2 linked regions of the Oryzias latipes genome follow. The protein of the gene in region 1 purifies or fractionates together with the protein of each later gene. This does not show direct contact. Links are inferred from orthologs where the notes say so. Each region holds a gene or a part of one and is shown on either strand. Other genes may lie near its edges. The genes, in order: clstn1 and apba2.

Region 1 (4,587 bases):
TACTGGTTCTGCAAAAAATGGCGAGCAATATTGGAGCTATCCAACCGTACGATTTTGAGCCAGATGTAAGCTCCGAAAAGGAAAACATAGACATGTACAAGTGGATGCACTGGAATGGATAAGAACAGAAACCTTGTGCTCCACCTGCCATATTTCCTATGTCACAAATAAGCTCTTTTTTCCAAAACCATTTTTTTCATCTACTCCTGATTCACCTCAATTTGGATAAAGAAACACTCAGAAATGCAATTTCAAACTTCACTTTCTTATATATGTCCTCTAACATGAGAAAAATGCTACAAGAACACATTAAAAACACAAAATTCCTCAGAGAGGGTCTTTAAACCTGACCCGATGAAGGCAAGAAGGAACTGCAAAGATCATCAAATCTTGATGTAAACTTACGCCGAAGAGTTGAAACACAAGAAATATCATTCACCCTGCTTGGAAGAGGCAAATAACGCCTCACTGTCACTCAAGAGCAGCTTCAGTTCCTGACTTGCCATCAGGTCAAAAGAGGTCTACACAGTTCGGGGCAAGTTCGAAGGCTAAAAGAGTCTGATGATGAATTCTGCTCCACACAGCAAATGTGAGCCATCTGTAGTCCAGTCAAGGGCTCTCAAGGTCACTGATGGATTTTTTTTCTTTCACATGATCATTTCAAATTACAGTTTATTTTTCTTGATAAATGTTTGAGCTTTAAAACAGACTTTCTACTTGACATTAAAGGACACTAAAGCAAAACGACTTGATTGTAATAGAACAACATAGATTTTCAAGCCAAAGCAAAACACAGTTTCTGTTTGAATTAAAGTGTATTTTCTTGCATCAGCTAAGACAACAAAATGCATCAACTAGACCTGACGTCCTCATCTTTCCTGCCATTCTCATAAGCTGAACTGTGAGAAAACTGCTGGGTGTGACCCACAGTCTTCCCCAGCAGTCTTGGAAGAGTGCATATGTTAATTCAGCCCCACACAAAAGCAGGGCACCCAATTTGTTTGACTAGAATCAACTTAATTCAATGATGAATGAGCCGAGAAACTTCCCAGCCGCTGGTGCGTCCTTTGTCTGACGGCGTGCACACAAGAAGCTTGTGCATTTCACCAGACGTTAAACTTTACGCACAAACATGGGTGCACCCAGCAGCTGCTCCAGATAACCGGAAAACTTATTTACATTCATGAGACTGTGGAAATAAATGTTAAAAAATAAAAAATAAACAGAACAAGTGATGTTCCAAGTTCTCCTTAAAAGTATTTGAAGCACAAATACACTACTGAAGGCTTCAAGGACACGATAAAAAAGCTCGACTCTTTATCTTAACCTGCAGCAATGGCACCGAATTATTTTCAAAACATCGAAACTCCAGAACAAGAGCCGAGAGAAGAACTGAGTGTTCTCTCTCCTCATCTGCTGCCAGACGGACGGCTGGAAATTAAAAACAAGATTTGGTAGAATAAGGAAGGAAACAAGCAGGAAAGCTTCGGTTATGAAAACTGGAGTTGACGTCACATAATTCCTGATAAGAGCAGGTAAAACGGCGGCGGCTCCACTTTCGCCCTTGTGCAGACTTTTATGGCCACGTTTGGCTGTGCACTTTGCTCACGGGACATTAAAAAGGGTGTAACATCTGTAAACAAGCAACAACAAAGTGAATGTAACCCACTGGCTTGTGGCATACAAGGGTAATAGACTCGCCCTGTATGAAGCAGATGCCTCTCCTGGGCTCTGGATGGATTTGGGGGTAAAAAGTGTCTATAAACGTGTGCAGTGGGGGTGGGGGTGGGGGTGGGTGGGGGGTTATGACTGAGCAAGAACCTATGGGAGGACAGCTCTGCAGTAAATAAATAAGAGATGTCCATTTGCAAAACTAAAAACAGGTAGACAGACAAGCTATTTTTAACTGCATGGCCATAAATAGGCTCAGGTCCAGATTTTTATTTTTATATTTTATCTGAACACATAAGCAGATAAATATTGATGAAAATAACCATGTGAAGAGGATCTGCAATGCGCTTCATCCCCCTGAGTGTCCACAGGGTTTCCAAACACAAGGATTAGGCTGTTAAATGACAGATATATGTAGATTTACGACCTGAATAGGAAAACAGTGAAGGGTTAAAAAAAAAGCAAAAATAAAACATCTGCGTTCATTCCGATTACATAAAATAGCACAAAACAAGGGCAGATGAAATCTATTCACAAACTGCGGAGGGCGAGGCTCAATTCTTTATTTAAAAAAAAAAGGGGGGGTGTAATGTGAAGAAGCGACCAGAATAGACCCAAATAGACGCAGATGACAGACTAGGGGGTCGTTTTGTACCCTTGGTTTAACCCCCTTTGAAAACACGTTAACATTTTGTGCCAAACGTGACACGTGAATGAGAAATGTGGCTGGGAGACGTTTTTATGATGCCGGGCTTGGTAAGGACTCGCTGTCTGCCGCTGCTCCGCACTGACTGACTGACGGGGAGGACCATCCCTGAACAGGTTGAACAAGCATCCCTCGCGGCGCGGCGCGCGCGGGTGCTAATATTTTTCTGTCAGCCTTCGGGGTCTGGACAAACCCGGGGGGTTCTGGGTGGGGGTCGCTACCTTCACTTTCCAGCCTTTTAAAATCAGAAATGAGGTTGTCACACAAGACACGACGGGTTCCAAATCCCGGCTTAGTTACCTTTAGCTGCCTTCACCGCACATAATAGTCCGAGGACCAGTCCGACAGCGGATGCTAGCTGTTTATTCCCCAGGAACCGCATCCCGACCTCGAGTTAAACCTCAGCGAAGTCAAACGCAGCCTTCTCCCCGCGTATAGCTTCTCTGACAGGAAAAGTAGAAATCCTCCCCCAAAAAAGGTAGATGTCGGTGACCGCGGCAGCTCTAAGATGGCCGTCTTCACCACCGCCGCTCGGCTCTGCTTCAATCACTGCTTCTCTCGCAGTTTTGCAGCCTGTGACGTTCACGGACCGTTGGAAATCGGCCCGACACGTTTTAGCGCAATGAAGAAGACCAGTAGCTACGCATTTAAGAGTCGATTACGAGTGCTTAAAACAGACAACACCAGTCATTATGTCACAATAGAACAAGCTTATTATGATATCTTTCAAATTTATTATAATATGGTTGTTTATTGCGATTAAAAAAGCTACCTTGAGTCTTTGGCAACCAAACCTGAATTTCCACTCCAATTAAAAACTGGGGTATGACAACAATGCTGCAGTTAACTAACCCTATGGAGAGCAGAAAATCTTGGATTTTTCCAAGATTTATTAGCACACGAGCTGAAAACTACAAAAAATGGAAAAATACAAGACTGGGGTCCCAAACACATAAGATGTGACCATGACCATGAACAGATGCAAAATATAAAAACACATAAATAATACCAATATATTCTTGTACATCATCAAATCTGCAAATAACTGTAGTACTACCCTCTACATTGTACTCATATCCACCTCATATCAAAATACGTATTCAATTATTATTTATTTGTGTTAAAAAAAGTTAAATAAAGTCGAATCTGATCAAATCTAAAAATAAACAATGATAACATATTAACAACAATAACATGTAAAACAGAAAAATAATCCTAATTTTCCTAATTAAGACTTCTATGGCAGTTTTACACAAATGGAAGTAGCTTAAAAGGGTGACAGTAAACTAAAGTCAGATTTAGTAAAATAAAGTAAATATAGGTCAGGAAAAAAACTTCCTGTTACTCCTCATGTCTGGGAAGCCTTCAGGTGTCAGTGAGACAGCTGAGAAAATTAACATCTGTCCAGTTTGATAGAAGGACAGAGTCCAACTGTTGTGTTTGATGTCACAATTTATAGAATAGCTCTACAAAAACAGCCTTCCCTTGTTCACCAACAGGTCCACAATCTATTCCACTTTTTTCTTATTCCAGTAAAATGTTCTGTTACATGTGAATTTATGTAAAGGGTTCTTAATGCACATTTCATGACACATCATAAATAATGAAATGTCAGGGTGTTGCCAAGGACAGAATTTACATTCATATTCCTGTGCAAATCTTTTCAGAAAAGATTTACATGGATATCTAGGGGTACGCTATATATCTATTTATATGCACATCCCTCTCATTCACAAGTATGCATTTTAATCTATGAATACACATATCTTGAACTCACAGTATCATCTTAGGTTTGCTATTGCAAAACCATTTTTACAGGGCAAAATCTGTCAACTTTGAACTCAGAGTATAAAAATAAGTGTGTTTTTTTTATTGCAGTGAAAGATAAATTGGGACAATAAAAAAAATGCTATACCATTTATTTATTTCAGTTTTTGTGATATCAGGCCTGATGCACAAGTGGCCAGAGCTTAAGAGGAAGACATGAAGGCAGCATGATACTAGTGACGTCAGTACTGTTATTGTGGGAGCATGCAGCCTCTTTAACACAGAAGGCTGGAGGGGCTGGGAGCAAATGTCTATTGATGCTGTAAGGAAAATGAAAGCTCAACAAGAGATACAATGCTCAATTAAACCAATCATGTGAAAAAAGGAACATGTATCAAGACATCTCTTTGCAAGATTTATTTTATCTGTTAGTTATGGGCAAA
Region 2 (3,820 bases), on another chromosome or scaffold:
AAAAAATCAGAATTAAACAGTGCGGAAAGTGTTTACAAGTAACCCCGTACTGCACTTTTCAGTCCTTATAGAACATTTGCATTCAATTTTTCCAAACATAAAAAAAACTGCAAATTGATCTTAATCTTAATCCTCTTTCTACGCATGCAGGATTTTCTTCTTTTGCTCCAGGGCAGGAGTGAGTTTACCTCCTTCCAGTCCAGCCAGCATACCTGCTACTGTTTAATCGTTAGGCTGCATGATAAATCGACACCAACCAGCTGTGGAAGCAGTGACTCCATCTGCTGGGTTCTGGATGTTTACACTAATGTGCAGATCAGAACAATCAGTCTCTAGGTTTTTTTTTTCTTTGGATAAATAGTGGATGATGAAAACATTCAAGTATTTTTACTGAAAAATGTCCCAGAAGAATTATTTTTTTTTTCTTTTTTTTTTACTTTTTATTAGAGAAAATACAAGTAGGTATGCCAAATGTATGGATTATTCTGTCAGTGATTTGTTAAACCAATTCATTGGTTGATTTGAAATTAAAGTTACAATACCATTCTATGAATCTTTAATTAGATTTATTTTCCTAGCACCGTTTTTTAAAGGGTCATTACAGTCATATCAGCTGCTTAACAGGGGTTAGCATACCTCCTGCTTTTGTGTGGATACCAACACTTAGGCTACGTCTGAATGCCCTCACTACTCCCTAACCACTAAAACACTATATAGTGCCCTGGATTTGAACGTAACTTGAACACATGCTCACAACTTCTTTTATTTCTTAAATTGCAAATACGACATCACCCATTTGCCAAAGTAAAAACCTAATAAACATGAATATTTTACAAGGACTATTAATGATAAATTCTAATGATCAAAACTTTACAAAAATAATGGATATAAAAAAATTGTAAAAAATATTTTTTTAAATGAAAAATCACTCAAACACAATGCACTGTGGTCCATATTTGCCAGTTTAGTGAGCATCAATACACACTGTTTTTTTGCAGAAACTTTGGAGAAATTTCCAGGGCACAGGATTTTGGAATTATGAATTTGGATAGCTTTACAACATGAAAGTAATGAGGAAATTCCAACACAACCAATTTCCAATGGAAGAGGATTTTGGTTTGTGAGGATCGCTCTAACCTCGCCAACGGAGTTTGAGAGGGCCTGAACAATCTTCTCGTGTGCTGTGGCCACCACGCTCTGGCCGTTGATCTCGATAATCCTGTGACCCACGCGGACCCCCCCTCGCTCTGCAATGCCTCCACGCATCAAACTGCATATCTGCTCAAGAAATTTAAAGAAAATGTTCTTGTGTCATTCTGTAGGAACTGAATCCACTTGAATACCAGTCAGTGGGGTAAAAACACTCCTGGTGTTAATGACAGAAAGTCTGGCTCAATGCAGATTTTTAAAAGGTGAAATATCCTCACAATGCCATTCTGGACGCTGAAACCCAGCTGATATTTCAGATCCGGTCTCTTGATAAGGACGGTGGTCACAGGGGGACAGCTGACAATGTTCATTTTTACCTGCACCTGGTTCTTTAAGCCCTTTAAAGAGACACACATCATCAACCTATGTCAGGAATTCACCGGAAAATGTTGCTGAAGACAATCTTCAAAGCCCTCTGCAGGCACACTGCACATCCTCTCTCTCTCTGCACCTTAATGATTCCCTGACAGGTGGCGAGTGGCAGCCCCACGAGGCTGGTGTTGTTGATGGACATGATCTGGTCTCCGATGCTGAGCTTGCCAGAGCGAGCAGCCGGCGCTCCGTTCATCATGTTGGCCAAGATGACCGTGGGCAGAATGGAGCCCCAGCCGGACTCCACGATCACCACCCCCAGGATCTCGCCTTTGCTCTTCTCTAGCTGCAACTGGGGACAAACAGCTGGATGCTTACTTTTATTTTGAAGATAGAGTCCCCTGCTACAGCTCAGACCAGAAATATTACTTAAACCTGTAGGACAACAATGTGCAACTCACATTTTTATAACATATAAACTCTAAATTTAAAAATGATTGTTCCTGCAGCTTATTTCCAAAATCGGAGCAGGAATCTATGACATAACTGCAGGGCAGAGCTGGAATCACGAGGCTTAACAATCTATCATTGGTCAGAGATTTAGAAATGCAGAGCATACAGGGAAGGATTAATGTCTGAGGGTGTATAAAACTGCAAATCAATCAGCTGCAGTATCTGTGAATCGCTGGATTTATAGAAATGTTACATTAATGAACAAAGGCAAATTCATCTTCTAAACTTGCTGAAGTTGTTTCTGTTACTCTGAAAGTAACCATCACTGGATTTATCTATGAATGCAAAACATGCATTCAAACAACAATTTACAATTGACAAAAAGTAAAATTACAAACTTGTACAAGAATATAGTGACATGAGCACATTTGAAAACCATTTTACTCAAGGTGTTTAATAAGTAATAATAACTTGTAGAATCAACAATTTAAAGTCATAAAAATTTAAATATAAACATGCAAAGAGAATTTGCTATTCAATTGGAAAAAAAGCTTTTAGTGACTCACCTTCTCCTACATGGATGTTAAAAATGTACATCCATTTTTAAGCTGTATGCCTGAAGTAAGGTGAAAATAAAACACAGACCTTCCAGGATATAGGATGTTGTAGCCACATCTGCAACTAGATTCACCGTATTTTAAGCTTGCAGCTCCAGGGAGAAAAATAGACATGTCTCTAATAACATTAAGCATAATCACAATTGATTTTCTAGCTTTATTTCTGATTCATTTAAGGTTTAACACTAGTAACACACCACCATTTCTTTTAAAAAGTGCTGAAAAAAGGCCACAAATTGAAATAATCCCAAATGATATTCTCCTGTCCAGTGTAAATTATTATAATTTAGAATTTTTTAGCTTGTGCAGTAACTAGTTGAAATGAATTAAATTAGAAGAAATAACATTACTGAAGATTTTTGTTGTGGATAGTTCCTTTTATGGAGCTTTGATTTGTGCTTCCTGTGAGGGTTTTGTCACATCATCCTTGCCCTAATTGTGGTTGCACTTGTTGTGGCGGTGTCTCATTTAGTGGCTTTTTTGTTTCCCTTTAATTTAAACTTTGCTTTGAAGTGGCCAATTCAGGCAGTGTCCCACAGCCACTACGCACTTCTACGCATATTGCACGGATGCATAATTGCTCATATGTAAATATATGTGGAAAAATGAGAAAAGTTGTGGTTTTTAAGTAAGCTATTCGCAGATGTATCATGAATGAACCACGTTAAAATCACAGACATAACCCACGCAAAGAACACGTAACCCAACGTAAAAGCCAAATATGGCCCAAAATTCATGCCTCAATTAGGTAATTTTAACATATTTGCGTCGTATACAGCATTTAAAAGTTATACATCTGTGGTATGTATGTGTAGTAAGATGGTTAGACATACGCGGAAAGCCACAAATTTTCGAATGCATCTTGCAAAAATCACGCACAATTGCGTAAGAGTTACATAAAAATTGCGTATAAATTATACAAAATATGCATAAGCTGCTTAATTAGACCAAAATCTTTTTATAAAATCAAAACCGACGGCCAAGAAGGAAAGCTATAATAGAAAGGAAATGTCACTTCAATAGGAAGTCTCATTATTAAAAGAGCTGAAAATAAAATAAATTTGCATTGATTGAAAATACAAAGGCTGAGACCCTGCAGAATACTGATTGTGAAATGGTTGTAAACATTATTTTTTTTTGGTTAAAACTAAATTATAATTTTACATAGCTTATTGTGACAGTCTCCTTTTTTACAGATTTAATTGTATTTTTGTGTTGAATTTCTTTCC

The links.
Region 2: the proteins of clstn1 (region 1) and apba2 purify together in Homo sapiens (affinity purification with western blotting; 3 studies listed by BioGRID and IntAct, with this or other methods). This does not show direct contact. The link is inferred for Oryzias latipes from reciprocal best matches to the Homo sapiens genes CLSTN1 and APBA2.

What each region holds. Positions count from the first base shown.
Region 1 is NC_019865.2:9,963,575-9,968,161, forward strand, and holds the start of clstn1 (calsyntenin-1), read right to left. Parts: upstream 2,940-4,587; 5' UTR 2,760-2,939; coding exon 2,678-2,759; intron 1-2,677. UniProt on the Homo sapiens protein: Postsynaptic adhesion molecule that binds to presynaptic neurexins to mediate both excitatory and inhibitory synapse formation.
Region 2 is NC_019861.2:18,690,036-18,693,855, forward strand, and holds part of apba2 (amyloid-beta A4 precursor protein-binding family A member 2), read right to left. Parts: intron 1,874-3,820; coding exon 1,661-1,873; intron 1,548-1,660; coding exon 1,428-1,547; intron 1,279-1,427; coding exon 1,138-1,278; intron 1-1,137. UniProt on the Homo sapiens protein: Putative function in synaptic vesicle exocytosis by binding to STXBP1, an essential component of the synaptic vesicle exocytotic machinery. May modulate processing of the amyloid-beta precursor protein (APP) and hence formation of APP-beta.